Linked DNA regions of Mus musculus: regions 2, 3, 4, 5, 6 and 7 are each reported to be linked to region 1. Evidence: microRNA targets listed by miRTarBase, many of them from high-throughput screens and not tested one by one. Region 1 holds a microRNA gene; each other region holds the end of a gene's coding sequence.

Region 1 (4,066 bases):
AAGGACATTAGCTCCAAAGGCTGGGGAGGGCTTGGCTCTCCCTCTGTGTCTTCCTGGTGTCCCGCCCTGGCCAGCTCTCGTCTGCTCTCGCCTTTATCCTTCTCGGCTGCTGCTCTTCCTCTCCAGAGCCTTGGGAGAAGGACTTTCCCCGGTTGTACTTAATTGATTGGTTGTCCCAAGTGTTGCTCTTACTTGATTTGCCAAATGCCTCCTGCTTCTCGTTATAGGACTGAGTGAGGTCCTCATAGCTCTGTGCTCTGGGCAGCTCTGAGCTCTCAGCCCTGTTGCTTTCAATGTCAGTCACAGAGTGGAAGTTTCCCCAAAGTGGAAAGCTACCATTGGGAACACAAGGGGCCCCTGAGGGGCCTCCACCTCACTGCCTTAAGTGAGTCCCGCCCACTCCCTGCCTCCCTCCGAGGTGGGCGGGAGTTCCTACCCCATCTCTGCTTCCCCTGGAGGCCGGCCAGCGTTTGTGGGTTGGTTCAGGTGTGGTACCTCCCACTCAGGAGTCAATATTTTCAAATTTTTCTAGTTTCCACACACGAGGTCCTGCCTGGGGTTTGAGAAAGCCTGGTGGAGGAGTGTGGTGGTGTGAGTGGAGACTGGCTGGCATTCCTCCAGCACTCTGCAGACTTCTTCCTGGGCCCGAGGCTATGGAGCCTTGGCTTTCACTTCTGTGACAAACACATGCCATTTCCCCAGCCTCATTTGCTGGTGTCTGTAGGGTCCTCCCAAGGTGAGCTGAGGGCTGCAGGTGCTAGCCAGGAACATGGGAGCTTGACTGTGGCTTCAGGTCCAGACCCTGATCTCACTGGCATCCCAATACTGCAGGAGGGGTCTTCTCACAAAGCTCTGAGGGCTGGTCTTGACTAAGCAATAAGAGCCTCAGAGTTGATTGAATTTTAAGGTCCCTTTCTGGCTTCTTGGTTCTCCATGTGACCAAAGCCCAGTGTGGCTTCATGGGAGCCCTGTTACTTCTCCATGAAACCCCAGCTCTCTAGGCCTGACTGCCACCAGAGTCCTCTTACCACCTGCAGTCTGCCACAAAGATGCCATATCAACTCCTCTCTTCCCAAAACTAAACAGGATCTATCATGGTGGCACGGAGTCAGCTAGATGTTGTCTCTTGCTATCCCTGTGCTAGTTCCATGTTTTAGAAGCAAAGTGATACTGGGGAGGAGAGGAGGGCAAGTGAGAGGAGCCAGTGCCTCCTGAAGCCCTTGCTCCACTGCCACCAGCCCGCCTGCCCCAGTGCAGACTGGTCTTCAGGAGTCAGTAGACCACCGGACCAGGTGTCAGCATCCACTCCAAGCCATGCTAGGAATCTGCCCCCTGCCGGGTTCAGCTCTTTAAGGTGCCTCTTCAGGGACACAGTGTGTGTCTGATTGGGCTTCGCATCAAAAGCCTGACGTTCCTGTCCCTCTTATAGGGGGAGCTTTGGACACAGGACCAGTTTGATAAAGGGCCAGGTAAGGGTTTCCACTCTGCACATTGTAGAGGGGACACCGAAGGCCCATGGGTCCCTAATTAAAGAAGTTGAGTGAATTTGCCTTCGTTCAACCAGGGACCTATCTCACTCCCTCCCAAAGATTTTTGTATAATTGTATAACCCCCCTCCCCCTGTTAACAGTGGCTCAGAAAAGCTTTGTACTAAAAGCATGGGACCCTCACAGCAACCATTCCTGGGAGATGGGTCCCTTATAGGTCCATGACCTGCTCTGTTCAGAGGCCTCTTGGCAGTGTGGCCTGTTTGTGCTGTCCTGCATCCAGTGTGTTGGCCTGGCTAAGTGAAAACGGTGAGCTGTTTCCCCTTTGGGCTACTTAACCACGGCTACTCCTTTTTTAAAAATGTCCTAGTTCTCCCCTACACACACACACACACACACGGTTTGATGAATTTCCAAACCACGGCTACTCCTTTTTTAAAAACGGGTTTGAACTCCTGTTTAGCCAAGAGTGATCTTGAGCTGGTCTCCTGCCTCCACCCCCTGAGTGCTGGGGTTACAGGTGATAGCTGGTCTCCTGCCTCCACCTCCTGAGTGCTGGGGTTACAGGTGATCGCTGGTCTCCTGCCTCCACCTCCTGAGTGCTGGGGTTACAGGTGATCGCTGGTCTCCTGCCTCCACCCCCTGAGTGCTGGGGTTACAGGTGTGATCACCTTGCTGGCTTGTGAGGTGCTGGGGACAACCCAGGGCTTCGTGCATGTCAGGCACACACTCCCAACTAAGCTACATCCCCAGTCCCTCTTTCTAGAAAACAGATAAGTCCATGTTCAGGGGAGAAGAGGTCACAGGTCAGGCCAGCTGCCCCATCCTTTAGTTCGGGGTTAGCTCCCAGAACTGCCCTGCACCATAAGCTGGTGATTCTCCATGCCTGTCCTTACCCCGGATCTGGCTATTCCCGTGATGCCATTTGGAGGGGAGAGGTCTGCTTCCCACTGTGACCAGGCTATGGGATCCTTGGCCACCTTGCTTCATGATTTGATACATTTGTTGTATTCAAAAACTTGAACTGTAGGATGCCATTAAGAGTCTGTTTATATTTTTGGAATATTTGTATTACAATTGTTAATAAAGGCTGGTTTAAAAACCTGTGCAGGACTGGGAGCTGCTTTTGCTTTCCTTCCCTTCCACTGACCTGACACTCGGTGGACACTGTTCTTCCTGCATGACCTCGTTGATCGTGAAATGATAGCACCTGGCAGAGCAAACGCTGGGATTCTGATCAAGGTTACAGAGGTTGGAGTGCATTAGCCCCTCTCGGGCCTGGGTTGGAACCAACTCCCTCTCCCCAGGTACTTGGCAAGCGTTTGCTTGCTGTGCTATTGACTGGGGTAGAGACTGAAGCCCTGGGGGAATTGGAGGCTCCTGCATGTGCTCTTGATGCTGCCAAACAGGCCTTGAGATTCAGAGCCCAGCATGGTTTCCAGGCACATAGTAGGATGACTTGTACAGACTCCAAGCAACAAAAGCTTTCCTGACACCACAGAATTGCCCAGAATCATCTCTCAGCCCTGAACGTCCAGGCACACAGTAGGGGAGCTCTAGCCAGTCTCCTGTCATCAGCATAATACGTTCATATCTACAATATGGCAAATTCATATCCTCCCTCACTGAATTATTGATGGACAGTGCACTTTTAAAAAAATCAATAGACCAGGGTGTGGAGCTGGAGTTAAAAGAAGCCTTTAGAAGTCTGCTCTTCTTGTTTTCGCTGTTTTGCATAGGAGCAGATAAAGCTTTCCTCTCTGGTTTGAATAAGTCAAGCCCAGGGCTAGGTTGGCTGTGATTGGCCAGAGCTAGGAGAATGTGGTTATGATGCAAACACAAGCAAATATAACCCTGTGTCTATGCTGTGCGGCCATTGCTGAAACAGGCTTCAGGACGGGCTGCTTTGGGAGACCTCATCAGTACTTCACCTGCTGCTTTGCCGGACTTCGGAGGACAGAGGGTCAGGTAGGTCTACTCTGTGTGTCCTTGTCAGCCAAATGCTGAGTGTGGATGAGGCCAAAGGTGAAGAAGGGACAAGAGTCATACCTTCCCTGGCTTTTGTCTTTGGGGATGCAGCTTTGGAAAGATGGAGCTTTGCAAACTTCACACTGAGAGAACCTGTAGATCCCACTGGCTAGGTTGGGCACGTTCTTGAGGCTCAGGGATTTGGGGTAACAAGACCCCTCTCATCTGTTCCACTGTGGGGCAAGAGAAGTTTAAACCCCAGTAGGTTACAAGCTACCTGGAATCCCCAGACCATACCCCGTGCCTGTGATCTTTGTAGCTCTCCGTACCCCAAAGTGCTGGTGGTTACGGCTTGGGAAGACAAACAGACCCAGCTTTGGGGGACTTTGATGTGGATAGATGGAACTGGGCTTTCTGGGTGTGGCATTTCCTGAATCTTGGGTCTCTAATCAGCTCCTGGATTCTGAAGTTCCATGGGGGACATGGGACTGCACTGGGGGCTCGGATTCACCGTGCTAAGGTTGCTGGTTAGGCTTTACCGATAACCAGGACTGTGTCAGCTCTGGTTCCCTTTCCTGGGTGGGTCACGCATTAGACTTAAAAGTGAGAGA
Region 2 (4,066 bases), not on the chromosome of region 1:
AGGCTCCATGTTTCTGGTTTTCCTCACATCTAAGCTTCCTCCACTGTTTGCTGATGTGTAAAGTGATTGTTTTCAGTAGGCAATTGTGGGTTTCTTCTTTTTCTTTTCTTTTCCTGCTGTCACTTGTATACTAGGCTTTACATGTTCATGATCTCTCTGAATGCTGCATGTTCAGGTGCTAGAGCTACTGCCTGGTAGACAGTGCCACAAAGCAGTGGGCCAGAAAGTTACCCAAAAAGAGCTCCTCCCCCAACCCCCCAAGTATTAGCAACTGTATCAGCCTTGCCTCTCCCTGGGCAGCTATGTATGCTTGAAGATTTCTCTGGTCTCTGATGTGCAGAAAGCCTTGACCTGTTTTGCATGTGGATGAGAAAGGCCAAGAGCCACCTTCTTACTCCTGCTGTCCACACTTGAAGCCTAAAGAATCCAAGAGGAATGGTGTTTCTATACGTGTGGCAGTCAAATTGTGTGTGCATTCTGAGCCTTCATTTCTTATCCATACTTAAAACATGCTTTTGTTTTTTTGTGTGTGTGCAACTGGTAAAGATATCCATAAGTCTTTATACCCTACATTGTACCTGGTCCTTGGTAGTATTTATAGCTCTGCAATGCCATTTCTAGACAGTGGCTACTATTACCATTATGGAGGGTTTTCAAAATTTCCAGCATGTGAAGTAGTTACTGAAACAGAAATTCTGATAGAATTTCTTTTACCTGAACTGAAACACTTTTGTATTTTCTTTGCTTAAGCAGATGATGCTGGAGGGTCTTGAAGTTTTTAAAACTTGAAACTTGAAAACCAGCCTTCAGCAACCACAGTGCCATGCCCAAGTGATGAGGAATGTACAGAGGACTCCATATGGATCTCTCAATAGTGAACTGTCACACACCCCCAAAAGAGCCATGTGGGTGTGTGGCCTTTGTGGTTGAATGACAGAGCTCTACTATGCGTTTAGCTGCTCAGGAGGTGACATGGACACACTTCAGGTATACTCATAAGGACTTATGGACAGCTACCTCAGGGACCAAATTGAGGGGTGGGATGTACCTGGCATTGTTCCCTTTTTCCATTTGACATGTTTTCTTATGTCAGGGTGTTATTTTTCCTAATACATGGAGGAGAATGAGTACTATTCGAGCAACAGTAGTTGCCAAAGAGAAAATAAGACATAAACATTTATATTTTATATCTTTATGTGGAAATACATGGAAGCATCTTTTGGCTGTAGAAAGTTTTTTTTTTTTTTAAAGATGTGTTGGTTACAGTGTTAAACAGTAAAGCACAAGTGGATAGTAGAGGGGCTGAACCCACTGGTGAAAATTGTTTTTAAAGGGATGACTAGATCAATTTGGTTTCTTTGGAATTTTGACATTTTAGTAATTTCTGTTCCAAAGAATTGGTAAACTAACTGTTAGTGAGTGTTAAGTCCAGACAGACTGAAGACCTTTCCCAAAGTCTTCAGTGCTGTCTAGATCCACTGTGTGACTTCCAAGTTAAAAAGGGAGAGTGAAGCACAAGATCAAGCTTTAAACTTTTAGAAGTTCTAAGCTTTCCAAGTCTTATTTCTCTAGGATAAGGCCCATCCTTTCTGATCTCCTCTCTTCCCACGGTTCATATTAAGATTTACTTGGAGTGGAGTAGGCAATACTTTGAAAGGGCTTGCCAAATTTTAACTACATTCAAGGTTAACTTCTGGGAAAACACCCATGCTTAGACTACTGCATATGTCCACAGCTCCTCTGATAGTGACTGTGGCAAAGGCTCACATGTTATACAGAGTGGTCCTGAAAGGAAGACTTCTTAGAAACAGGTCCTGCATGGTTCATTTGAGGCTATCCATCTTTGATATGATGCCAAGCTCTGCCTGTGACATTGCATGGACGGCACAGTAGCTCCCAAGGGATATTGACAATTAAGAACAGGAAACATAGGTTGCTACAGGGAATGAGGGAGAAGCCAGAGACAGGCTAAAGACACCTCCTCACTCCCATGCTTTCTAAGTGTGGAAAATCTTTTATGTCACTGGTTATAAATAAAATTTTTAAAGTCAACCCTGTGTGCTCAGTTTTTCTTCAGTTATGACAAGATGTGGTATGAGAATGTTTAGCTTGAGTTGCCACTGAACTATGAAGTCAAGCAAATGACTTCTGAATGTGTTTAAAAAATGAATTTTTGAAAATTATTTTTTGAGGGCTGTAGAGATGGCTTAGCAGTTAAACGCACATATTACTTTTGTAGAAGACCCAAGTTTGGTTTCCAGCACCCACATCAGGTGACTTACAACCACCCAGGGAATACATTGCCCTCTTCTGGTTTCTGTGGCCACCTTTACTCACATCTGCATAGACCCCAACAGAATGAGATGATTTATTTATTATTATTATTATTATTATTATTATTATTATTTTGAGATAGGGTCTTACCTTGTTGGCTAGACTGTCTTCCAACTCACAGCAATGCTCCTATTCAGCTCATTAAATATTGTGATTACAGACTCAGTAGTGGGCCATTTTTTTCTTTTTAAAATACATTTACCAAGTGATATCAGGGGTAGATAGGTAAATATTGAAGTTGATCTAATAAATTGTTTAGCAAAATTACATTCAGCTGACTATAAAAGCAGTATACAAACTGAAAACAAATCAGTCTATGAAAAGCTTTAGTGTCACAGCGAAGGATCTGAATTTTCTTGTTATACTGAATTATATCTATTTTGTTATGGTGTGTTTTGAATGTCATTTTATTTCAGTGATTCGGGCATTAGGAAAGGAAACAGTCTCAACACAAAGTATTTGCTTCTCTTTTTATCAGTTGAGAAGCATGAAGCTAGCTGACAAGCTCTGGCCCTTTCTTGTGGTTACTGCCCAGAGACAGAGAGTTGGCACATTTTAAGTAGTTGTTCAAGTAATTCTGAGAACCTTACAGCTTCACCAAAGCTAGAAATATTAACTGGATCTTCAAGAAGTCTGCTGAACCTTGTTCTAAGTGAATGCAATAGTTTGCACCCAGTTCTTTGGAGCTGAGAGAATATCCTGAAATCTTTACTATGCAGCTCCATAAGACTCAGAGGCTCTCTAGTTCCCATATGCACTATGAGTTTTGTATGGCCATATTCATACCTATTTTTTGTAAGCTAACATCAGGGTCCTTTCAGGGTAAACTAACTATTAATTGTAACATTTGTGTATTTCTTAGGAACTTCATGTATATAACGCTATCTTTGCTTTTTTGGGGGTGTATAGTTCTATAACTGTATCTTACTACATTTTATTTGTGTGTGTGTGTGTGTGCATATATAGAATGAAACTAAATCTTGTAACTCAGTCTACCAAGCAGGTGTAGAGCATGTTCTGTGTACAGGAAACAAATGTTAATCAGAAGTGAGCCAAGGTTTCAGAAAACAGTTCCTGGGTCAGCACTTGGATCAGATTTGACATCTATGGAGTCCTGCAGGATCCTCCTGTTTTACTTTGAAAATGGGAACAAGCACTGCTGAAAACTACCACATTCCAGCTTCCACAATGACTTTACATGAAGTCCCTATAACCTGGAAAAGCCTTACAATTCAGTGTACCCTTACAAGAAACTAGACTTAGAAACATTAGCGTTATACTGAAGTTCTATGACTCAGTTTCACCCTCACAAGTTTTCTGTTTTTAAAACTTGTGAAATTACTTTGTTTTCAGTACTGACACACATTCTCTCTGAAATAATCTCCCATGTAAGCCAGGCTCAACAATTTATTAGCTGTACTATGACTGACATTTTTAGAAACTATTAAGGCTGTGAGGTACTCAGTGGTACAACACTTAGACATTCTTTCTGGGTTCCTTCTCCAGCACCACAAAAAAACCAGACCCCCAGACCAGCTGTTTCCCTTAAACGCAAGACAAGACCAGAGTAAAGATGTTGCAGAATTCAAAATTTTATAACCAATTTGTTTCAAAACAAAAGCCCTTAAAAGCAAAAGAAAACCATATACCTCATTCATTGATGCCATAGGAACCTCCATTGGAATGACACTGAGCACTCCTTAGCTGAGTGGGCTATAGTTTTTTTTCTACT
Region 3 (4,066 bases), not on the chromosome of region 1:
TATTATATTTTAGATTTTCTTATTCCAGTTTAACAAACAGTGTTTTCATTGTGAACGTCTATTTTTTACAAACTAAAGAGAAAAAACTTTTTGACAAACAGTCATAATTGCTTTCCTTGAGGCAAGCTGACAGGCTCAGGAAAGAGTTAAACAAAGAAACATATTGACCAAAGACAAAATTTAAAAAAAAATTGATAGGCATTCTAGAAATAACAAAAAGGTTCTCTCAGGGATTCTCAGGAAGAATATATACAAATATATAAAAAAAAATCAGGAGGTTAAAAAGCATCAGAGAGAGCCGGGTGTGGTGGCACATGCCTTTAATCCCAGCACTTGGGAGGCAGAGGCAGGCGGATTTCTGAGTTCGAGGCCAGCCTGGTCTACAGAGTGAGTTCCAGGACAGCCAGAGCTACACAGAGAAACTCTGTCTCGAAAAACCAAAAAAAAAAAAAAAAACAAAAAACAAAAACAAAACAAAACAAAACAAAACAAAACAAAAACAACAACAACAAAAAAAGCATCAGAGAGAAGATAGTAGCTATAGAAGACAAGAGAGAACCAACATATGAATAATTGGCACTTCCGACGTTGTTCCGTAGGCTGTAATGAAACCTTAAGGCTTACAAGGACACACAAATGGCTTTTCCTAAAGTATAAAGACTGAGAAAGATTGATGAAAATAATAAAAAAAATTAGAAATACCGGGCCGGGTGTGGGGGCACACGACTTTAATCCCAGCACTCGGGAGGCAATGGCAGGCAGATTTCTGAGTTTGAAGCCAGCCTGGTCTACAAAGTGAGTTCCAGGACAGCCAGGGCTATACAGAGAAACCCTGTCTCGAAAAAAAAAATTAGAAATACCTTGATCTGTTTACTTCAGGGACAAAAAGTTCTTTGGACACACAAGCCCTCCTCCCACACCACCAAACATAAAGCAAAACCAACAAATAATCCCAACTATTTATGCATAGATTATTTTTTAATTGCTCTCGTGCATGGTCAGAAGGGGAAACAGAATACATCATCTAAGGTATTGCATAACCCTTTCCCCGCTGACACTCTTCCTTTTGAGTCGTCTTTGGCTCAGGTTTTCCTCAGTGTGTTCTCTGCACCGTCGATACTTATTTCGTTAAAGCGAGTTCTGCTGATAACCCCCAGGGAGCACTCATGATGCTGGTGTCTTGCTGATTGACAGGAGAGCCAGTGAAAGCCATCCCCACCTCAGTGGGCATTGAGTGTCCTTCATAGTTGGCCCTTACGTGGCTTTTTGACTGAGCACTAATGTTTTACAGTCTTAATCAGGAATGTAACAAAATTGCACATCAACAGGTCTATATACACAATCACAGAGACTTGGATGTCAGGCACCTTGGTAGTCTATTGACTTCTTCAAAGTGTTCACTGTTGTAGCCGGGCGTGGTGGCGCACGCCTTTAATCCCAGCACTCGGGAGGCAGAGGCAGGTGGATTTCTGAGTTCAAGGCCAGCCTGGTCTACAAAGTGAGTGCCAGGACAGCCAGGGCTACACAGAGAAACCCTGTCTCGAAAAACCAAAAAAAAAAAAAAAGTGTCCACTGTTTTCCTCTTGTGACAGGGATAGTTCATTTATGGCCTCAGACACCTCCTTGTCACAGAACTTCTCTGGCTCACAGCACAGAGTGGAAATGAAGAGTGTTATTACCTTGTATAAATTTTGCTGTTGCTGCTTGGAGACACACTCTTGCTATGTACCCTGTGCTGGTTTTGAGCTCATAATCTTCCTGTCTCAGCTTCCCAGAGCTGGAATACAGGAGTGTGCACCAAATCTGGCTCCTAGCAGCAAAGTTAAGAGCTATTACACTGTTTCTGCATGTTTCCCTAAGGTCAACCCATATAGGGACCACTTCTTTTAGCCAGGGTACTGAAAACAGACATGATTAAACCCCAGTTTAGCAATGCAGAGACTCATGGATGATAAATGTGAGAATACACAACTACAGAGTGCTCAGCTCCAACTGGAACATTTATAGCTACTTCCTTGCGGCACAGGGAATAGAGCTCAAGATGGGGAGGAAAGAATGTGAGAGCCAGGGGCTGGGGAAGAGCTGTGAGATGCTGTCTTCCGAACAGGACAGACTTTGCACTCATGAGCTCAAGGTAGAAATGGTCACTCCCACAAGATCAAGCCAACAGTGCCAGGCAACATTGTTGCAGGCAACCCTAGACTTAGTAAGTTACAGAAGAAATGGTCACTCCCACAAGATCAAGCCAACAGTGCCAGGCAACATTGTGGCAGGCAGCCCTAGACTCAGAAGGTTACAAAACATAGAGGAGAGGGCAAGAAGGTGAGGTGGAGACAAGCTGAGGGGTGTCTAGGAGGGTGGGGGCAGTGGGAATTAAGGGTAGGTATGATCAAAGTACATTATACACATGTGTAAAATTGCCAAAGAATAAAAGATATTCATTCAAAAAATACAATGTTAACTTTAAAAAGATGGAGGACGACTGCTTACAAGCCTCTGAGGCTGATGAGACTTAGAATCTTGAAGCCGAGCATTTCAAACATATCCGTAAAAGATTTGTAAGATGTTGAAGTTAGCGGGGAGTCTCTGCAGCATAGGTGGATGGAAGCTTGCTGCTTACAAGGCTCTATGTTTATGGACTCAAGTATTGGCTTTCGTATGGCCTGCGTGCTTTTCTGAAGGACTCTTGATCTATGAGAAACTTCTGGATGGTAGCGAATGAATGGGCCATTGCAGAATAGCCCTCCTTCACATGAGATTCAAGTTGAAGGTATTTCAGATGACCTTGAGTGAGGGTGGAATGACCTTGCCTGAGATGTGTTTAAATCATATTGGGAACTACCACACACACACACACACACACACACACATCTATCTATCTATCTATCTATCTATCTATCTATCTATCTATCTATCTATCTGGCCCAGTTGCTGGGAACTACCATATATATTGGTATATATATATTTATATAAATATATATGGTATGCATATATATACTATTACATGTGTATATATATACATATACACACAGACATATATATGTGTATATATTTGTTTATATACACATATTTTTTCATGAAATGCCTTGAAACTATAAAGTCAGAAAATATTGTTGGGGCTTAGGATCACACCTCAGCTAGGGACAACATCCTAGTTCTCCATGCAGAGATGGTGGGCTAAGGAGAGAAAGGAGAAGGGAGACACTGTAGCTCAGGAGGACTCACTCCTGACCTTGTTCCTCCTTTGCCATTAAGTCTGAGTCCATGACGGAGTTTTCTATCCCCTCCAGGGCAGGAACTCCAGCATCTGCATGCAGAATCCCACTGGACACATGGCTGAGATCACAATTTATTAGGGATCCAATTGCAGTTCAGCGTTGGTGGTTTCAGCAGGTTGCAGCAGCTCTTCAAAGCATAGAGGCTGAAGTTTCCTCCTGGGACGACGTCATTTGGTCCCTTGGCAACAGTGCTGGTGGAGGCAGAAGGAACTCATTAGCTGGGCCTTAGGTGGGAGCAGGAGGAGAGTAGACAAGGGCACACTGGAAATGGTACAGGACAGGAAGCGGATTCCCTTGTTTCCAGTCTAGATAGGTGGGTTTAAGAGAGACTCCTGAGGGTTGGTTTTGGTTCTCAGATTCTGGGTGGCCCTGAGAACTCCCACTGTTTCTTTCAGAATAGCAATGACAGGGTAGAACTAATTCTTACAAAAACAACAAACGAAAAATAAAAAGGTACCTGTACATGAACTGGACCCATGACTAGGCAGTTAAGAGCACACTGGCTGTCCTGGAGGACCCAGGTTCAATCCCCTTGACCCACAGAGCAGCCCACAACTGTCTGTAACTCCAATTCTGGGGCTTCTGGTGCCCTCTTCTGGCCTCAGTGGGCACTGCTTGCACTCAGCACACAGAAATACCTGCTTATACATACTTATAAAACAAACCCAAAATCTTAAAAAATATTAATTTGTATGTGAATAAAAATAAGTGGAGTGAAGGCACTGATTTTGCAAATAGAAAATAGAGGGTAGAGATGGCTGACAGGGATCACCTTCATTCTTTGAAAA
Region 4 (4,066 bases), not on the chromosome of region 1:
GACCAAGGACCTCTCTTCCCATTGATGCATGACAAGGCCATCCTCTGCAACGCACGCAGCTGGAGCCATGTGTACTCCTTTGTGGATGGCTTAGTCGCTGGGAGCTCTTGGGGGACTGGTTGGTTGATATTGTTTTTCTCCCTGTGGGGTTCCTTCAGTTGTAGGGTACTCTCTTAAGTCAAGTCTAAGTGGGGTCTGTGGACAGCATGGCTCCTGAGCCTGTTCACACACATACCCTGTGACCCCTGGGTGTCACCAGCCCTGTGCTTTGGTGCCTTCCTGGCCTCTGGTGAACTTGAACTTTGTATGTGAACTCCTCTTTGCTTCTGAGTTGGAAAGCTGGGTTTCCTCCTTTCTCAGGTGCCAGACGCCCAGGAAATGGGTCCTAATCGGCCTGGGGAAGACTGTCTATATAGTTTTTTTTTCTTCCAACTTGTAAAATAAATGGGATCCCACTCATTCCTGACTTTTAGCTACTGAGTGGCTTCTAAGTCATTTTCAGACCCGTTTCTAACATTGTGCGCTCCATCTCTTCCTCCTAGACGTCCCACTACACTGTCCTTGGAGACGCTTTTAAGGAGCGCTTTGTGTGTAAGCCACACCCTAAACCAAAGATCTATGACAATTTTGAGAAGAAAGCAAAGATATTCTGCGCCAAACAGAACTGTAGCCACGACTGGGGAATTTTTGTGAGATACAAGACGTTCGAGATTCCAGTCATAAAAATTGAAAGTTTCGTCGTGGAAGATATTGTGAGCGGAGTTCAGAACCGGCACTCAAAGTGGAAGGACTTTCATTTTGAAAGGATACAGTTCGATCCTGCAGAAATGTCCGTATGACCTCAGGCTTCTCCGTCTCGTGCCGCAGGGAGCCGTGCCTTAAGCATGGAGTTGATGAGCCAATGCTTTCTTACCCAAGCTTGCACAATCCTTTCTTACACAAGCCTGCACTGTGTTGAATGCCAGATAACCTGACTGGTTGGTTTCAAGCTGGTGCTGTCCACACAAAGCACACACGCCTGAACTGCGGCGCCGAATAGTTTCTTCACCAATAACTCATAGCGTAGCCCTTGGCCATGGTGGGGAGGGGTTAAACTTGTCCCTTTTACACTTTTCAGAACTGCCCGACAGGGAACGTGCAGCCACTCGGTACACCGAGACGCATGATGGCTGGCGTGCTGGAAGGGTTCCCGTTCTCTGTCTGCTCGATCTGCTGTAAGCTGCCTTTGCCCTTAATGACAGTGCCCTTAAGAACAGTGACTTAGTTCTTTTTCAGGCCACCAGACTGACTGCCAGATCCCTTCTGTCCCTTCTGTCCCTTGCACTGATTCCTTTCCGGATTTGACCCTGCCACCCTGTCACCCTCTGCAGAGTCTCCTGGTTTCTGTCTCTTCCTTGGTTTCTTTGCTGACTCAAATTTGGTAGTTGCAAGGTTCAGTATGCACACATATATATTTAAAATGACATATAATTTAAAATGTAAAAGACTATAGTTGACAGCTATGCTTACTGAGATGGTATTTCTGTTCTGTTCATTACTATACATCTTACCCTTGCTCTCATCTGTTCTTTTAACTTGGGCCATTTCCCGTCTTTGAATAGACATCTCAAACCCTGTCTGTATGTCTGTCTGTTTCCCACCTGTTTGAGACAGGGTCTCTCTGTAGACCAGAAACTCCATATGTAGACTATGCTGGCCTTGAACTCACAGATCCCCCTGCCTCTCAAGTGTTGAAATTAAAATCTTTCACCATGCCTGGCTCTAGCTATTTTCAATAAAGGCTCATGTTTAAAGTTTGAACTACTTCCAATTCATTCCCTGACGTGGCTTGTTGTTGTTGTTTACTTTTGGAGACACTGTTCCTCTCTGTAGCCCTGGCTGTGTAGACCAGGCTGCCCTTGGTCACAGAGATCTGCCAGCTTCTGCCTCCGGAGCACTGAGATTGAAGGCCTGCATCACCATGCCTGGCTTGCCCTTTCTTCTTAAACATTATATATTCAAATGGCATTTCCGTGTTTCTTCTCAAGGTGTGCCAGTGCTTCAGAGAGCTTAGTTTGGGGTTCTTCAGATCAAGAGACAAGTGTCTGAGCGCTGTTACTGCCAACAGAGCAAAGTACTCTTCAGTTCAGGGAAGGAACAGTGCTGGTTTTGTAGGCAGTACAGTGGTTTTAACACCTTCCTAGAACTTACTTGTAATTCATCAGTTGTAGACCATCAATGGCCTAAACCAAACTGCAGAGATCATCTGACCACATAACTCCCCTTCCAGGACATTTACATTTGAAGACTATCCCAAGCCCACCCAGAGCACAGTGGGTTACCCAAACTCCCCAGGTCAACCCTGGAGGTCAACAGTATGACATGGGATAGCACACCACTTCTCACAGATGCCTAGAGAAATTACCCAGCAACATAACTCTTTGGGGAAAAAACACCTATAGGGATTAGGCTTTTAATTGATAGAATAGGTAGAAAAAAAGATATGTAGTAGTTCTTGATAGTGGTTACTGGTAAAATTCTTAGTGCAATAAAATGAATTTGCCGAGAGCTGACTTTCTTTTTTTTCTTGTTTTTTTGAGACAGGGTTTCTCTGTATAGCTTTGGCTGTCCTGGAATGCACTCTGTAGTCCAGGCTGGCCTTCGAACTCAGAAATCCGCCTTCCTCTGCCTCCCAAGTGTTGGGATTAAAGGCGTGCGCCACCACGCCTGGCTGAGAGCTGACTTTCATTTATGTCTTTTAGTCTATGTTGCCTTTCTTTGCTGCTACAGTTTAAGAACTCTACAGCTTGTATAAGATACCTACTGGAAATTATTTGAGAAAAAAAACTTGTAAACATTACAATAATTTAATTAATTAAAAATTTATGTATTTTATGTATATGGGTGTTTTTTTCTGCAAGTCTGTGTGCACATTAGAAGAGGGCATTGGATCCTCTCTATTGTTATAGTTTTATGCTGCTGCTGTTGTTGCTGTGTGTGTGTGTGTGTGTGTGTGCTATGAATTGAACTCAGGACCTCTGGAAGAGCAGTCAGTGCTCTTAACTGCTGAGCTATCTCTCCAGTCCTGGCAATGATAAATCAGTTGAAGTGAAATAGTCCTCCCCCCCCTTTTTTTTTTTTGCCAATGGGGAAAAGCAGACTAAATCTGAGACCAAATGAAGTTTTGAGTTGTACACTGACTTAAGCCACTGCCAAGCATACCCTGGAATGGAGCAAACCCTGGGTTACTAAGTACTGAATGAATACAACAGGAAGGTTTTGAGAGATGGGAAAATGCTTGTCTTTGGACTTCCCTGATGGAAGTTGCATCTGGACTCTCCCATGAGCACATCACCAGTCCCCACTAGAGTCCTCACAGGTTGCCATCCATGTGTCCTTTTTGAGGCTGAGATACAACTTGTTCTGCAACCACAGACCTTGCTGTTTTGTGGTCAGTATTGGTATCATAGCATTTTCATCCTGACCTGGAGCCTTCAGTCAAAGGCCTCATTGTGCAGTAAGGACGCTGGACTCCTGACTCCTATACTTAAAACAGACTTGGTAATTTCAAACAAGTCAACCAGATGCCAGTATTTCTGCATGCATGTCTTGTGGGATGGTGTTGTGAGGTCCCCTGACAGATGCACTGAGTGGCCAGGGAGACTTTTGTACCCTTTTCCATTTTAACAGCCCACGGGTCACTGTGTTGCTTCCATCATATTAACATCAACTTGAACCAGTGGTTCCTGAAACACTTCAGTTCATTGGACCTTGCTAATTAGCATCCTGTAAAAACCCACCAACAAATATCAACTAGACAGGTAGAATCCAAGTGAACTGTACACTCCTGGATCATGCCAGTAACTGTTTTAATAATACACCATAAAATATAACTACGACTTCATTTTACAAATCTGTGTTTAATAAACAGGTACAGGCTTGTTGGGTGCGAACTTTTAAAACTCCTAATAAAAATGCCAGCTATGATTATCTTTGTTTATGGCAATTTGACTAAGAGAACAGAAATTAGCTGAGTGTTAAAGTACATCTGTGCTTACAACATTTAACAACTTCCTAAAGAGCCGGT
Region 5 (4,066 bases), not on the chromosome of region 1:
TGACACAGATGACGATGACCCTTTCAACCCTCAGGTATCCTGGTGTGAAGGGAGGAGGCCTGGGGCCTGAGCTCCTGGGTCTCTTGGAAGGGGAAATGAGTATTGCATTCTCGGGTCTGAGAAGAAGAGAAATGAGACTGGACCTCTGGGTCTGAGGTCCTAGGGGAACAGGGATGAGTCTTGGCCATGAGGGAGGAGGCTGGGGTCTGGAAGCCTGGGCCCGAGGGAGGAGAGAAGGGCCCCCACGTACACAACAGATTCTGAGTGTCTTTCCTGCCCTGGTTATCCTGCCAGGAATCCAAACGCTTTGTGCAGTGGCAGTCTTCCATCTGAGCCTCCCCTCCAGTCTGGAGCCTGCCTCTCCTCTATGGTAACCTTCAATGTGTACAGTTGGGTCTTGGCTCTCCCCTACAGTAGTTGTAGCTCTCTTATGTTGGGTGGATGTCCATGGGAGGGTCTCCAGTGAATATCAGCTCTTCATTTCTCCCTCTCTCTAGCTCCTTTCCTGGCTGCTGGAGAAGGCCCCACTAACCTGACCTTGACTGGGCTCTGACCACTAACACTGCTGGCTATGGACATCTCACTTAGGATGGCAACCTGCTCTGGCCCTAACACCCACCCCCCCATCCCCATTTCTCCTTAGCACAGGGGATTGCTGAGGTGGCACAACAGGGACCAGGGGTGGCTGGGAAGGGGGCTGACCTATACAGCCTGGTGTTCCTCACCTCTGGCTGCCAGTCCTGTCCTTGGAGGGATGAAGCTGGAGGCAGGTACAGGCACGTCCCTGTTTCCTGCCATACCCCAGCGATCTCAACCTATGGCACTAACTTGGAAGAGGGCTGATTTGAAATAAAAGGGAAGGCTTTATTTTACAAGCAGCTAGGTCCTTCTTATCCACCCCAACTACTGAGAGAAGGAAGTCCTGACTGGGCTAGGGACACTCCTCCTCTGGTGGTTGAAAGGCAACTCTCCTCTTGTCCAGGCTCAGCACTGCATTGCTTCTATAAGTAACATGTGAATCCTGACAAGGGGGAAGAAGCAGATACCGGAAGAGAATAAGCCTAGCACTAAATCTAAACAGGCGTGCAGCCACAGGAACAGTCAAGCTTCCAGTCCCGTGGAATGTACAAAGCCTGCTGGGTTTAGGAAAGGCGTGGAATCAACTTGCTTCCTAGCAGCTCACACCCAGCACAAGACTCCAGAAAACCAACGCTTGTATCAGAATAGGGACAGAAGTCTTCGAAGAGAAAGTAGAATATTTGCTTGTAGTGCCACCAGGGTGATATGAAGGGGGAAGGTTTAAGGAAGATATTATAAATCCAGGCAGGAAAAGATGAGGCACTCAATAAGTTATCAAGTAAAAACAAACATGGCAGAGTCAAAAGGGAAATTTATTGTCTGGGGAACAATATGTATGTAGTTCTCATTTGTTTAAAAAACAAATAGCATACATGGCAAAGAAAAACGTGGTTAATACATAAACATAATTCAAAAAGCTTCTATTATCTAACAAAAAAGACCTCAATTTAATAATAAGTAACTGAGAAAAACAAAAACCCCAAAACAAATGGATAAAATTGTCTTTTTTGTCTTTGTTGTTGTTGTTTTGGAGACAGGGTTTCTCTGTGAAACAGCCCTGGGCTGTCCTGGAACTCTCTTTGTAGACCAGGCTGGCCTTGAACTCACAGAGAAGAGCCTGCCTCAGCCTCTGCCTCCCTAGTGAGGAGATTAACGGCGTGTGACGGCGTGTATCACCACACCCAACTAAAGTGTTCAAATTCTAATGATTAGCAAACACAATGTGCTACTTTCCCCTTTCGAGTACCTATTTGTTGTGGGATTTAGAGTGGAGTGTGGGCTGGTGCTGGTCTGGAGGCCCAGGGAACAGGTTCTCTAAATATGCTGCCCAGAGACTGTGAATCACCAGCTATGTGAAAATAATAATAAACAAAACAAATAAACAAACATAAATATGCTTACATGTGAGAGGATAAAAACTGCATCTCTTATCCTGGTAATCCTTTGAGGGACCAGCTTCCAGAAAGAAATAAACAAGCAACCCCTGGCTCAGTTAAACGCTGGAGACAAAACTAATCTGCCACAGTGGGACTCTTCCCAAAGACCAGCAGCTCTGTAGGGGAGATGGCAGAGCAGGGTCCTCAAGTGACTACAGAAGCACCAGGGGTATCCCTGGTTCTTGCACAATGCTGGTTTGGATTCCTATGGGTCCTAGTCCTGGCACCTCAGTGTTAATGTAAGCAAGTTATTTGACTCACTGAACCTCTTTTTTTGGTTTTTCAAGACAGGGTTTCTCTGTGTAGCCCTGGCTGTCCTGGAACTCACTCTGTAGACAAGGCTGGCCTCGAACTCAGAAACCCACCTGCCTCTTCCTCCCAAGTGCTGGGATTAAAGGCGTGGGCCACCACTGCCCAGTTTTTTTTTTTTTTTTTTTGTTGTTGTTGTTGTTGTTTTGGTTTGGTTTAGTTTGGTTTGGCTTTTTGTTTTGTTTTTTTGAACCTCAGTTGTGTGGTAAAGCAAATGGGCATCATAAACCCAATAAACAGCTCTTGACAGGATGGGTAAAAAAGCAAGACAAATGCAACATGATGCTCTGGGTTACGCTATGGCGCACCGGAAACATTAGTGAGAAAAAGCGCCCACATCTGCGGCTTAGTTCAGAATATTAGAGCAATGTCAATTTCTTACTTTTAACAAATGAATTTGAGGTGTGGAATCTAGCAATAGGGGAAACTGGGCATAGTGTGCCCAATTCCTGTATTACTTTTGTAATTTCTGTAAACTTAAAATTTATTCTAAAATAAAAGTTCATTATAAAAAAGAGATGGGAAGAAACCTACCAAGCTAACACTAGCAAATGATACAGAGTTATCCAAGTGTTGTTTAATTACCAAAAGTTGCTTGTACAATGTGAGACTGGAAACTGGTCAATTGATGAACAATAATTGATAAGAAGGTAGTCTTATCAATTATTTTAACGGGAGATCCCAAGTTGGGCTGCATAATTCAATCACTCCTACTGTAAACAGTGAGCTTTAAGTGGCGGCCCACACCTTAATCCCATTAAGAGGGAGGCGGGTTTCTGAGTTCCAGGGCCATCCTGATCCTAAAAGATACAGTTCTGCTAGCTGCCACTCCGAGCAGATCTCACCATCCCAACACCCTACAAGGTACCTTTCCAGCGTCACAGTCCAGTGGCTACTCCCATTCCTCAAGCGACGCGTTTCCCGCTTCCTTTGGTTCGCACTCGCTGTTCCCTACGCCAGGTGCGCCTTTCCAATTTTACTCACTAAATAAACCTTCCAAGGGAGGATTCACCTTATCCCATTTCCCTCCACCCGCTTATATATTCATTTATTTTAAATCGTCCTAGCGCAGTGCGCAGCCTCACAACTCCTGTCCCTATGCGTTACATCTGAGAGACTATTGACTGCTGAGTCAAAACTAAGCTGTTGTGAGCGCGCACGAGAGGCTGGGAGGTACTTGTCCCCACGGGGCCACCGTCTAGGGCCAGCTTCCGGCTTGCTGACAAACGCCAACACGCGACTGCGTTCGCGAGACGTGTGGTGGGCGGTTCAAGCCGAGCGGTGACGTCTATTGGCTGTGCGCGACACAGGGCGGGGACAGACGTCCGGGTAACGTCATCACGCCACGGTCAGGACGTTCGAGCCCCAGACTAGAGCCAGCCGGTGACTGAGCGCTGTCTTGGTTGTCTTGAAGCTGCCTTGGACCGCCGGTAACGAGTCCCGGGAGCGAGCGGTCCTAGTGAGTGTGGGTAGTAGTGGGAGGCCTGGCGGGCGAGCACAGGGACGCCTTCGGGCTCCGCGCTCCGCGAGCCCTGGCCTGTTTGGTAAGGCCAACCGACGCCGCGCCCTGCGTCTTTGAAGGGTGTGGCCGCCGGAGCGCCTCTGCGCATGCGCGCCGGGTGTACGCTGGGGGGGGGAGGGGGCGGCTCCCCTACGTGCGCGTGCGCGTCCGCGTCCGCTCTGCTACTGGCCCTGGGAACCCTGCGGTCCCTAGTGCCCTAGACGCACCCCTTGCGGGCTCC
Region 6 (4,066 bases), not on the chromosome of region 1:
GTCCTACCAGCAGGCAGACGTGGTACTGATGTGCTACTCTGTGGCCAACCATAACTCGTTCCTGAACTTGAAGAACAAATGGATTAGTGAGATCAGGAGCAACCTACCCTGTACCCCGGTGCTGGTTGTGGCCACACAGACGGACCAGAGAGAGGTGGGACCTCACAGGGCTTCCTGCATCAATGCCATAGAAGGGAAGAGACTTGCCCAGGATGTGAGAGCCAAGGGCTACCTGGAGTGCTCAGCCCTCAGCAACCGGGGAGTACAGCAGGTATTTGAATGTGCTGTCCGAACAGCTGTCAACCAGGCCAGGAGGCGAAACAGAAGGAAGCTGTTCTCCATCAATGAATGCAAGATCTTCTAAACCCCAAGGTCCTGTGCCCAACATTCATGAATGTATGAATGTACCTCAGAGACTCATAGGAGAGGGGAAAGGGCAAGCCAAGAGGACTGATGCTCTGTCTTGAAACATCTGAACAAGCTTTCTGCATGGGGTTATGAGGGAGTCTGCCGCTGCTGCTTCCACTAACTCTACTCTGCAGAAGAACTCTGTGCCCAGCACAACCAGAGAGATTCCTTGGGAAGCCATATGAGTAGTCCATCTTCAATGAGAGACTAAAACAACCATCCTAATTTAGACAATGAAGTGCATTTCCCAACTATGCCATATTTAAATCCACATCTTATTTAAATAATAACCAAATATCGAGCTCTTGTTTTCATGCTTTGGAAGTCTTTTCTTTGAAAAGGCAAACTGCTGTATGAGGAGAAAATAACCTTGTGGGGTTCAACCATATGTCTGTGGCGTTATTGTTACTCCTGAATTTAATTTGGTTGGAACTACTTTGTGTGCTGTGTTTTTTTCTAGCTCATCAGACTTTCCAATGACCATAAACTGATCTCTGTAATTCATCTTCCATTTCCCTGTTATTCAGAGTTGTGTATAAAATACAGCTCTGGCCCAGAAGGTATTTTAACACTGCCAAATGACTTTCTCTGTAATTACAAAAGAAAATTTCTTCTTTACGATATTACCTGTCACTCAGAGAACTCCAGTTGCACACCAAGTGTTCCTTTCTCACTCATTAAGACAGAGATGGAAAGAAAAAAAAATCTTTCATCTCGAGAGTCACATGGATGCTGTTGAGGGACCCCTTCTCCTTGCCTGTGTCATCTGACATGTACTTCCTGATTGGTTACAGGTCTCGGGAAAAGAGGGCAGGCAAGTGTTGTTATAAATAATAGTTAATTGGCTGGCACAACCCCATCATTTATTAATTTTAAGACTGAATCAAAGCAATTAGAAAGGCGCCTATATAGCATGCCTGTGTATATGTATAAGGGAAAAGGCAGTGTTTATGACTTTTACTGTTTCATGAATAGATACGCACTTGTGAAAAAAATTACAGATCTCAGGTTCAGAGAATGAGTAAGTCTCCCTACTCAGATAATAAAGAGTCGTTGGGAAATACTAACTCAATAGGGAGGTGTGCATATATGCAATCCTCCTTCCTGATTGTATGAAAGTGATAGTGTCGATCACCTTTTCTTTTTTTTTCTTTTTTTTTAGTTTTTCGAGACAGGGCTTCTGTATAGCCCTGACTGTCCTGGAACTCACTTTGTAAACCAGGCTGGCCTCGAGCTCAGAAATCCACCTGCCCCTGCCTCCCGAGTGCTGGGATTAAAGGCGTGTGCCACCACGCCCAGCTTCGATCACCTTTTCTACACCCTGATGTATCATTTGTAGTTCCAATCTGATAACTGGGAACACTTGTAGCGCCTTTCTTGGAGCCCAGCACTGTAGAGGGGTTGTATGGCTGTCATCATGAAGAGTGAGGAGCCTGCAGGAGCAACCCTACTGTGGATTATACTGACATAAGCAAGTCAGCTTGTCACACGGATTCTCTGGCTGACTCTCTGTGGATACAGTCTGTTAAACATATCCTAGGACGCCTCCCCCACCCTCCATGCTGTTTTCTCCTCTGTCTGTCTCTCTCCCAAGCTCAGTCACAAGCCTGGAACCTGGGTCTTGGTCTGGGTAGAAGAAGCACTTGCCATTTCCCAGGGCTAATAGGTGTGCTGTCAGCTAATCTCTCAGCCTTCTGGTTCTGCGGCTGGACCACCTCCGTCCCTTGCCTTGAGAGCTCATGTCTTCTGTTCACGGCACTGGGCATCCTGAAGGTTGGAATGAGCAGACAGAGGAGGAGACAGGGACTATGTCTTCCAGGTCCCTCATGTCCCTCTGATTCTCTCCTCATTCTCCAACACACAAAGGATTTTGTGTTTATTTTTCTTTTGGAGTGTGTGTATACACTCTTATTGCTGTAAATTGAAACTTTTTTTTTTCTCCTCACATTGTTGCCCAGGATGACCTCAGACTTGCAATGGTGCTCCTGTCTCAGCCTCTCCGGTGCTGTGACGATAGGTGTGAGCTACTAGGCCTACGAAAGGTCTTTCATAACAAACCCGGCTTCAAGTTTAATCTGTGGAATAGTTTAAAACACACTGAAGAAATTAATTTCTACACACTCAGTTCTACACACTCAGTAGGCTGTCCCTTAATGCTTTTCTTTCTATTGAAGGGAGGTAGGGTTGGGGAGCATCTAACCGTGGGAAGGCCCCAGGGAGGAAGAGGAAGTTTCATGCTGGAGACAGGAGGGGAGGCCATCGAGGCTGCTGATAGACCTGAGTGAGGTTTGCCTGTTGACAGGAGCCGGTGGTAAAGCTCCTTTAAGGAAGGAAGCCTCACACTGGAGGGCAGAAATTCAAGTGTGAAGCCTCCTTCATGTGCACCTGGTGGAAACTGAGCCAGGCAGGGCCTTTCTTCTCTGTGTCCCTGAGGCTATGCTGCCTCATAGTTCACTCCGTGTCCTCAGGGCCCAGCGCAGGGAAGAAACCATAGCTAGATGAAGTTGTGTGAGAGGAAGGAAGAGATTGATCTTCACGGGTCTGTAGGTTTAGCTTTGCACACATCCATGAAGGTGTAGGAGACTTCCCCTTCAATAGGTGGTGCTTTTTGTATGCTTCACCTTCAAGTGTCCCAAGTAGCAAAATTACAGATGCTCATGTTTCCATAAGAAAGTGGATTTAAGTGGTTAAGTTCATTTGTTCTGGCCTAAGCAGAATCCCAGAGGCTGGGAAGTCTGGGATCAGGTGTCAGCACAGTCAAGCTCAGTGGAAGGACCTCTTCATCTGATTGGTGGCTTCTTGCTATGTCCTCATGTGTGTGGTGGGAGTTTGATCTATTCTCATAAGAGCCTTCGTGCCATCTGTGAAGGTCCCGCCTTTCTGACCACGTTATCTCTTAATCCTATCACAGTTGATCAGGCCTCAGAGGAGCAGTTTGAGGGGGAAGGGACCCACATTCCCTCACGCCAGTGCTTTTCTGTCTTACTTTATTCAGCCTAGCTAAATAGGGCAACAGAATAGGTTGGCCCCATACAATGGGTTAGGTGACAAGATGACAAAAAAAGCATCCCGATGGTGCAAGTATGTCGAGCACTTCAGATAGCTGGGCACTGTGTTAAGCTCTTGTGTGGTATGTAAGTGGCTCACACGAGCAACTTGGCCCTCAACATGTTAATGGGACAAGCCCGAGCCATACAGTGGGTGAGTATCAGAACTCCTAAGTCTGGAGCAGGTCTGTGTGGCTCCAAAGCTCTACTCAAAACCATCATGGCCCACTTCCTCCCTGAGCAGTTACCTGCATGGCTTTGCCACATCTGATATCCCATAGCTGCAGGCCTCTCCCCCTACTAGTCAAAGGGCTTGTATTTAAAAGATGGTGGTGATGATGATGATGGTGGTGGTGATGGTGGTGATGATGATTTTGGCTTGTTCATTTGTTACTGTTGTTGCTGTTTTGAGAAAGGATCTTGCTATGACCTTAAACTCATGGTGCTCTTTCTGTCTTATATTATCCAGTGCTGGCGTTATAGGCACACATCACCACACACAACTTAAAAGGTTATTTTTATTTATTGTTTTGCATTTTACTGGTTATCAAAATCAAGGCCTCTTGAATACCAGGCAAGTGCCCCACCCTGAGCTATGCCCCCAGCCCCAA
Region 7 (4,066 bases), not on the chromosome of region 1:
AAAGCAGACTAAAATGTAGAGACTGTGGGTAAAATTAGACCTCAGAGAGACCTTTTAGTATTGGTTGGCCCGTTAGTGTGGTAATTCCACTGAGACTGGTTGTTGGGAACACGAGGTTTGTCTGGCATCGGCAGATTAATAACATTCTCGGTATTAGGCAGATCTGCAGCTTTTGCTGAACTTGCTTTCCCAGTGGGATGTTGTTCGTTGTCAGGCCATGATTGACCCAGCCACATCACTGATGCTCCAACCAACATGGCTTTTCTAGGTTCTCACGCGGTTTTTGGCCTCTTCCACTCCTATCATGTACTGGTTTCCAGCTCACCTGCTTCAGGATCAAGAACCGCTGCTGAGGTGTGTGGACACAGAGCCTGGGAAGCTTCCTCAGGAGAAGTCCCCACCAGGACAGAAGGCCCCCAGAAACTGTCTCATGAAACTCTTCTACGATTGGAAGAGATGCTCTCCAGTCACAAGATGCGTTCTGGTCTACTTCCTGACCTACTGGCTTCTGGGACTAATTCTCCATTGCAACTTCCTGCCTTGGACTTGACCTGGAGTGTCAAGGAATGAAAGCTCTAAGACGACACCCTGGCTGGGACAGCCCGCACACTCCGGAGAGCACTGTGCAGTAGGATCTCTGGGTCTCTCTGGGGGCCAGCTAAGAAGGGAAAATGGGAGCACAGGCGCCCCTTCTCATCCTGGGCGGGGCAGGTGTAGGGGAGTAACTTCAGTGCTCAGTGCAGGGGTCTCAGATCTCCCTAGTCCACAAGTACTAGGCAATCTTAAACCTACTACTGATCCACGTGTAAGTCTGTCTTCTTGTTTTTTGAGAGAAGGTTGGTTTCTCTACATTGCCCTGGTTGTCCTGGAACTCACTCTGTAGACCAAGTTTATGTAGACCAGGCTGGCCTTGAACTCAGAGATTCATCTGCCTCTGCCTCTTGAGTACTAGGCCCACCACTGAGTGTGAGCCACCCCTGCCTGGCCTGGTGGATAAATTTAAATGTTTGATCAAAGCACAGGCCAACAGCCTGCCCCACTCAGGATGGTGGAGTCAGTGCAGTGTAGTGACAGAAGGAAGAGGGGACAGACAGCCTGCTCTAAGTGAGAGGTTTCTGAAGGTGGTTGTTTTCTTTTTTTTTTTTTTTAAAGATGTATTATATTATATATGAGTACACTAGCTGTCTTCAGACACACCAGAAGAGGGCATCAGATCCCATTGCAGATGGTTGTGAGCCACCATGTGGCTGCTGGGAATTGAACTCAGGACCTCTGGAAGAGCAGCCAGTGCTCTTAACCACTGAGCCATCTCTCCAGCTCCCTGAAGTTTTCTTTATGATACTGGTGTGTGTGTGTCTGTGTCTATCCTACAGACTGTGAAAATCTAAATACTCCTTTTGCAATGAATTACCTTTTTCTGGAGGAGGGGTAGTCAGGGGAGCTAAGACAAGGTCCCTCTGTGTAACTCTGACTGTCCTAGAACTTGCTTGCTATGTAGATCTGGCTGGTTTTGAACTCAGAGATCCTCCTACCTCTGCCGAACTAGTTTCTATAAATTATAGAGGGTTGAGGCTAGAACTCCGTAGTAAAGCACACGAGGCCCTAATTTCAGTAATAAACACCACTTGGATCAGAGCACAGGGTCTGAATCTTGGCTCCCATTCCTCACTTTCCAGCTGTATGATCTAAAGCCACCTTCAGAGCTTTTGCCTTCTCTGAAATTAAGGAGGAGACTTCTTCCCTGGGGTGTGATTTAGGCCTTAAATCTTGAGGCTACCTTAAACAAAAGATAAATGGAGGCTCACAAGTGGTCTAATGGGAAAGTCCTCCTTTGATCAATTGGAAACAGCCTCCCCCCCACCTCTGGGAACAACTCGGAATAGAAGCTGTCGTGGAGAGTAATGACACCTGGTGGAAAAGGGTAACCCAGGGTGACTGGTTTTCCATTCTCAAAGATCACACTTGCATGAGTCAGAGGCACCTACCCCACAGCCTTGATGGGGGAACCTTGTAGCTAAGTCAGTCCAAGGTTGTCTACTGTAGCATCTGCCCTGCTTCCTGGCTCCCTGTGGTTACTAAGAGTAACCCTGCCCCTGAGGAAGGATGACTCCAGGATGCTGAGGCTTGAGGTGAGCTTGAGGGCAGCTACAGAATAAGACCCTGTATAAATGAAAGACAGTGTCCCTGCTGCGCAGCGTTTGTGCATTCTTGAGCCAGGTAACTTTGGCTCGGTGTCACCATCCTTACTCCCCATTGGGCCAAAAATTCCAATAAGCAGCATTCTTCAAAACAGATGGCAGTCAGCAGTGGCTTCTGGAAAGCTCGGAGTTGGAATTTGGACACACTCCCTCCGACCGTGACAGAAAGCTCAACTTGCCAGCTGAAGGGAAGCTCCTGGCCCAGGCCCAGCACCCTCTGTGGGAGCCTCCAGCCAGCCTGGCCAACGAGCATTCCCACCCAGCACCACAGCACTAGCACAGCCAAGCATTTGGTCCAGAGTCAAATGCTACTGAAAATGTACACACAGATTGGGGCAGCCCTCTGCCTTCTGCCAAGACACCAAGTGCCCTTCTTGGCAAAAGACAACACCTCTCCCCTAGTGTGTCCCTCCAGCTGGCAGACTGCAGCCTCTTCCCCAGCAGCTGCAAATCCTAGGACTCCCCCTCCCCCTCCAAAAAAAAAAAAGTGCGTGGGAGGAGCCGGGATCCTTTGGTCTCCCTCTCTGCTCCACTTTGCCTCCGTTTGGAGGGTAACCAGAAGTGATTGTTCCTCTCCTGGGAGAGGTGACTCACCCCCTACAGAGCAGCTTCAGTCTCCCCTGTTTTGTCCCTAGAGCCATCACTGAAGAAACCCTACACCTGGGCACCCCGGCTAGGTAAGCACACCTGGAGAAGGCCGGGCTTCTGGCCTGGGAGGCTCACGGCTCAGCTTGTAAGGAGCGGGCTGACTTTATGACCAGCAGCTGTCCCTTTACCGGCCTATTAACAGTCTTTAATAGTCTGAAGGAGGACCGTGAAGGGCCCAAGGCCGGAGCTTCCTGTTTCCCCGAGGTCTAAGAATGCCACAGCTGGGTGGGGCGGCCACGGTTTCAGAGAAAAGTCATTTCCTTCCAAGACCCTGCTAAAATACAAACCAGACACTCTGAGGACCCAGAAGTGGATGTCTTTTTGTTCTTTAATGGAGGTGGGAAAAGGGGAAGCTTTGGCGGGTCTCTAGTAGTCCCACTGGGGTGGGGCAGCGGAAGTCTGGGTCTAAAAATGTAAAGTGTGGAGGCTTAAGTTTTTAAAAGGATTCTTTTCACCAGTTGTTTATTAATGCCTGTTTTGGACTAAGGCAGGCCTAGCCACGCCTCCTGTCCTCAAGTGTTGCTGGCCAGTGCACCGGAGCATTCATTAGGGAAGTGGTAAATTCTTTAAAAAGCAACATTTTAGTGTGTGTGTGTGTGTGTGTGTGAGTGTGTGTGAACATGAACATCCTATAGCCCACGTGGAAGTCAGCATTGCCCTCTTGTTGAGTCTTAGTTCTTTATTATGCTGTCCTTAAAACTGGGCATGTCAGGCCTGAGGACAAGTCCCTTCCCCCACTGAGCCCTCTGAGTGCTGGCCCAGAAGTAGCAAATTCTGAGGCATAAAGGACATGTTTTGCTATCTTTCTACTTAAATTTTTTTTATAACGAGGATGAATTAAAGTTTTAATTTGAAGATGGTGTGGTGCACACGTGCAGTCCCTGCCCTTGTGAGATGGAGCAGGAAGATTGTGAAATCTAAGCCTACTGTGGTGCACACCTTCAATCCTAGGACTCGGGAGGCAGAGGTAGGGGGGATCTCTGTGAATTGGAGGCTATCCTGGTCTACAGAGTGATTTCCAGGACATCCAGGGCTACGTAGTGAGGCCATGTCTCAAAACAAAACAAAACAAAAAGAACTGGAAAGATGTCTCGGTGGTTAAGAGCCCCAAGTCCTGTTTTTGTAGGGGACCCAAGTACAAGACCCTATCACTGTAGCTCCAGCAGAGACAACACCAGGAAACCTTGACAACCTGCACTCCTGAGCACATTGCACATAGG

The links. Region 1 holds the annotated microRNA mmu-miR-546 (AUGGUGGCACGGAGUC, at 1,095-1,110, shown strand). A microRNA usually pairs through its seed, bases 2 to 8, with sites in the 3' UTR of a target mRNA and lowers its output. Matches are read on the target gene's strand: a 7mer-m8 pairs with bases 2 to 8, a 7mer-A1 pairs with bases 2 to 7 and ends in A, and an 8mer does both.
Region 2: the mRNA of Fam118a is a reported target of mmu-miR-546. The part of its 3' UTR that is shown has no 7-base or 8-base seed match.
Region 3: the mRNA of Slc28a3 is a reported target of mmu-miR-546. Seed matches in the 3' UTR shown: 7mer-m8 at 1,417-1,423.
Region 4: miRTarBase lists Ddx58 as a target of mmu-miR-546. Seed matches in the 3' UTR shown: 7mer-m8 at 1,276-1,282 and 7mer-m8 at 2,697-2,703.
Region 5: miRTarBase lists Ttyh1 as a target of mmu-miR-546. Seed matches in the 3' UTR shown: 7mer-m8 at 1,271-1,277.
Region 6: the mRNA of Rhoh is a reported target of mmu-miR-546. Seed matches in the 3' UTR shown: 7mer-m8 at 1,694-1,700.
Region 7: the mRNA of Pigv is a reported target of mmu-miR-546. Seed matches in the 3' UTR shown: 7mer-m8 at 1,236-1,242.

The regions. Positions count from the first base shown.
Region 1 is chr10:126,997,377-127,001,442 of GRCm38, forward strand. It overlaps Mir546 (microRNA 546), which reads left to right and starts at 1,064; the gene lies at 1,064-1,184. It overlaps Ctdsp2 (CTD (carboxy-terminal domain, RNA polymerase II, polypeptide A) small phosphatase 2), which reads left to right. Exons shown (of 8, transcript NM_001113470.1): 8 at 1-2,599. Avil (advillin) reads left to right here and starts at 3,333. Exons shown (of 20, transcript NM_009635.3): 1 at 3,333-3,455.
Region 2 is chr15:85,060,779-85,064,844 of GRCm38, forward strand. It overlaps Fam118a (family with sequence similarity 118, member A), which reads left to right. Exons shown (of 9, transcript NM_133750.4): 9 at 754-2,052. The coding sequence ends at 773. Smc1b (structural maintenance of chromosomes 1B) reads right to left here. Exons shown (of 25, transcript NM_080470.1): 25 at 3,911-4,066. Among named protein-coding and RNA genes, the nearest start is that of Fam118a, 26 kb to the left of the region's middle.
Region 3 is chr13:58,552,348-58,556,413 of GRCm38, forward strand. Slc28a3 (solute carrier family 28 (sodium-coupled nucleoside transporter), member 3) reads right to left here. Exons shown (of 18, transcript NM_022317.3): 18 at 960-3,469. The coding sequence ends at 3,343. Among named protein-coding and RNA genes, the nearest start is that of Gm38494, 7.9 kb to the left of the region's middle.
Region 4 is chr4:40,202,583-40,206,648 of GRCm38, reverse strand. Ddx58 (DEAD/H box helicase 58) reads left to right here. Exons shown (of 18, transcript NM_172689.3): 18 at 543-2,872. The coding sequence ends at 839. Among named protein-coding and RNA genes, the nearest start is that of Ddx58, 35 kb to the left of the region's middle.
Region 5 is chr7:4,133,369-4,137,434 of GRCm38, forward strand. Ttyh1 (tweety family member 1) reads left to right here. Exons shown (of 14, transcript NM_021324.6): 12 at 1-34; 13 at 295-370; 14 at 498-2,039. The coding sequence ends at 333. D030047H15Rik (RIKEN cDNA D030047H15 gene) reads right to left here and starts at 3,558. Exons shown (of 3, transcript NR_033548.1): 1 at 3,193-3,558. It also overlaps a transcript of Leng8 not described here.
Region 6 is chr5:65,892,601-65,896,666 of GRCm38, forward strand. It overlaps Rhoh (ras homolog family member H), which reads left to right. Exons shown (of 3, transcript NM_001081105.2): 3 at 1-4,066. The coding sequence ends at 364. Among named protein-coding and RNA genes, the nearest start is that of Gm32474, 18 kb to the right of the region's middle.
Region 7 is chr4:133,658,994-133,663,059 of GRCm38, reverse strand. It overlaps Pigv (phosphatidylinositol glycan anchor biosynthesis, class V), which reads left to right. Exons shown (of 4, transcript NM_178698.5): 4 at 269-1,635. The coding sequence ends at 550. Among named protein-coding and RNA genes, the nearest start is that of Pigv, 12 kb to the left of the region's middle.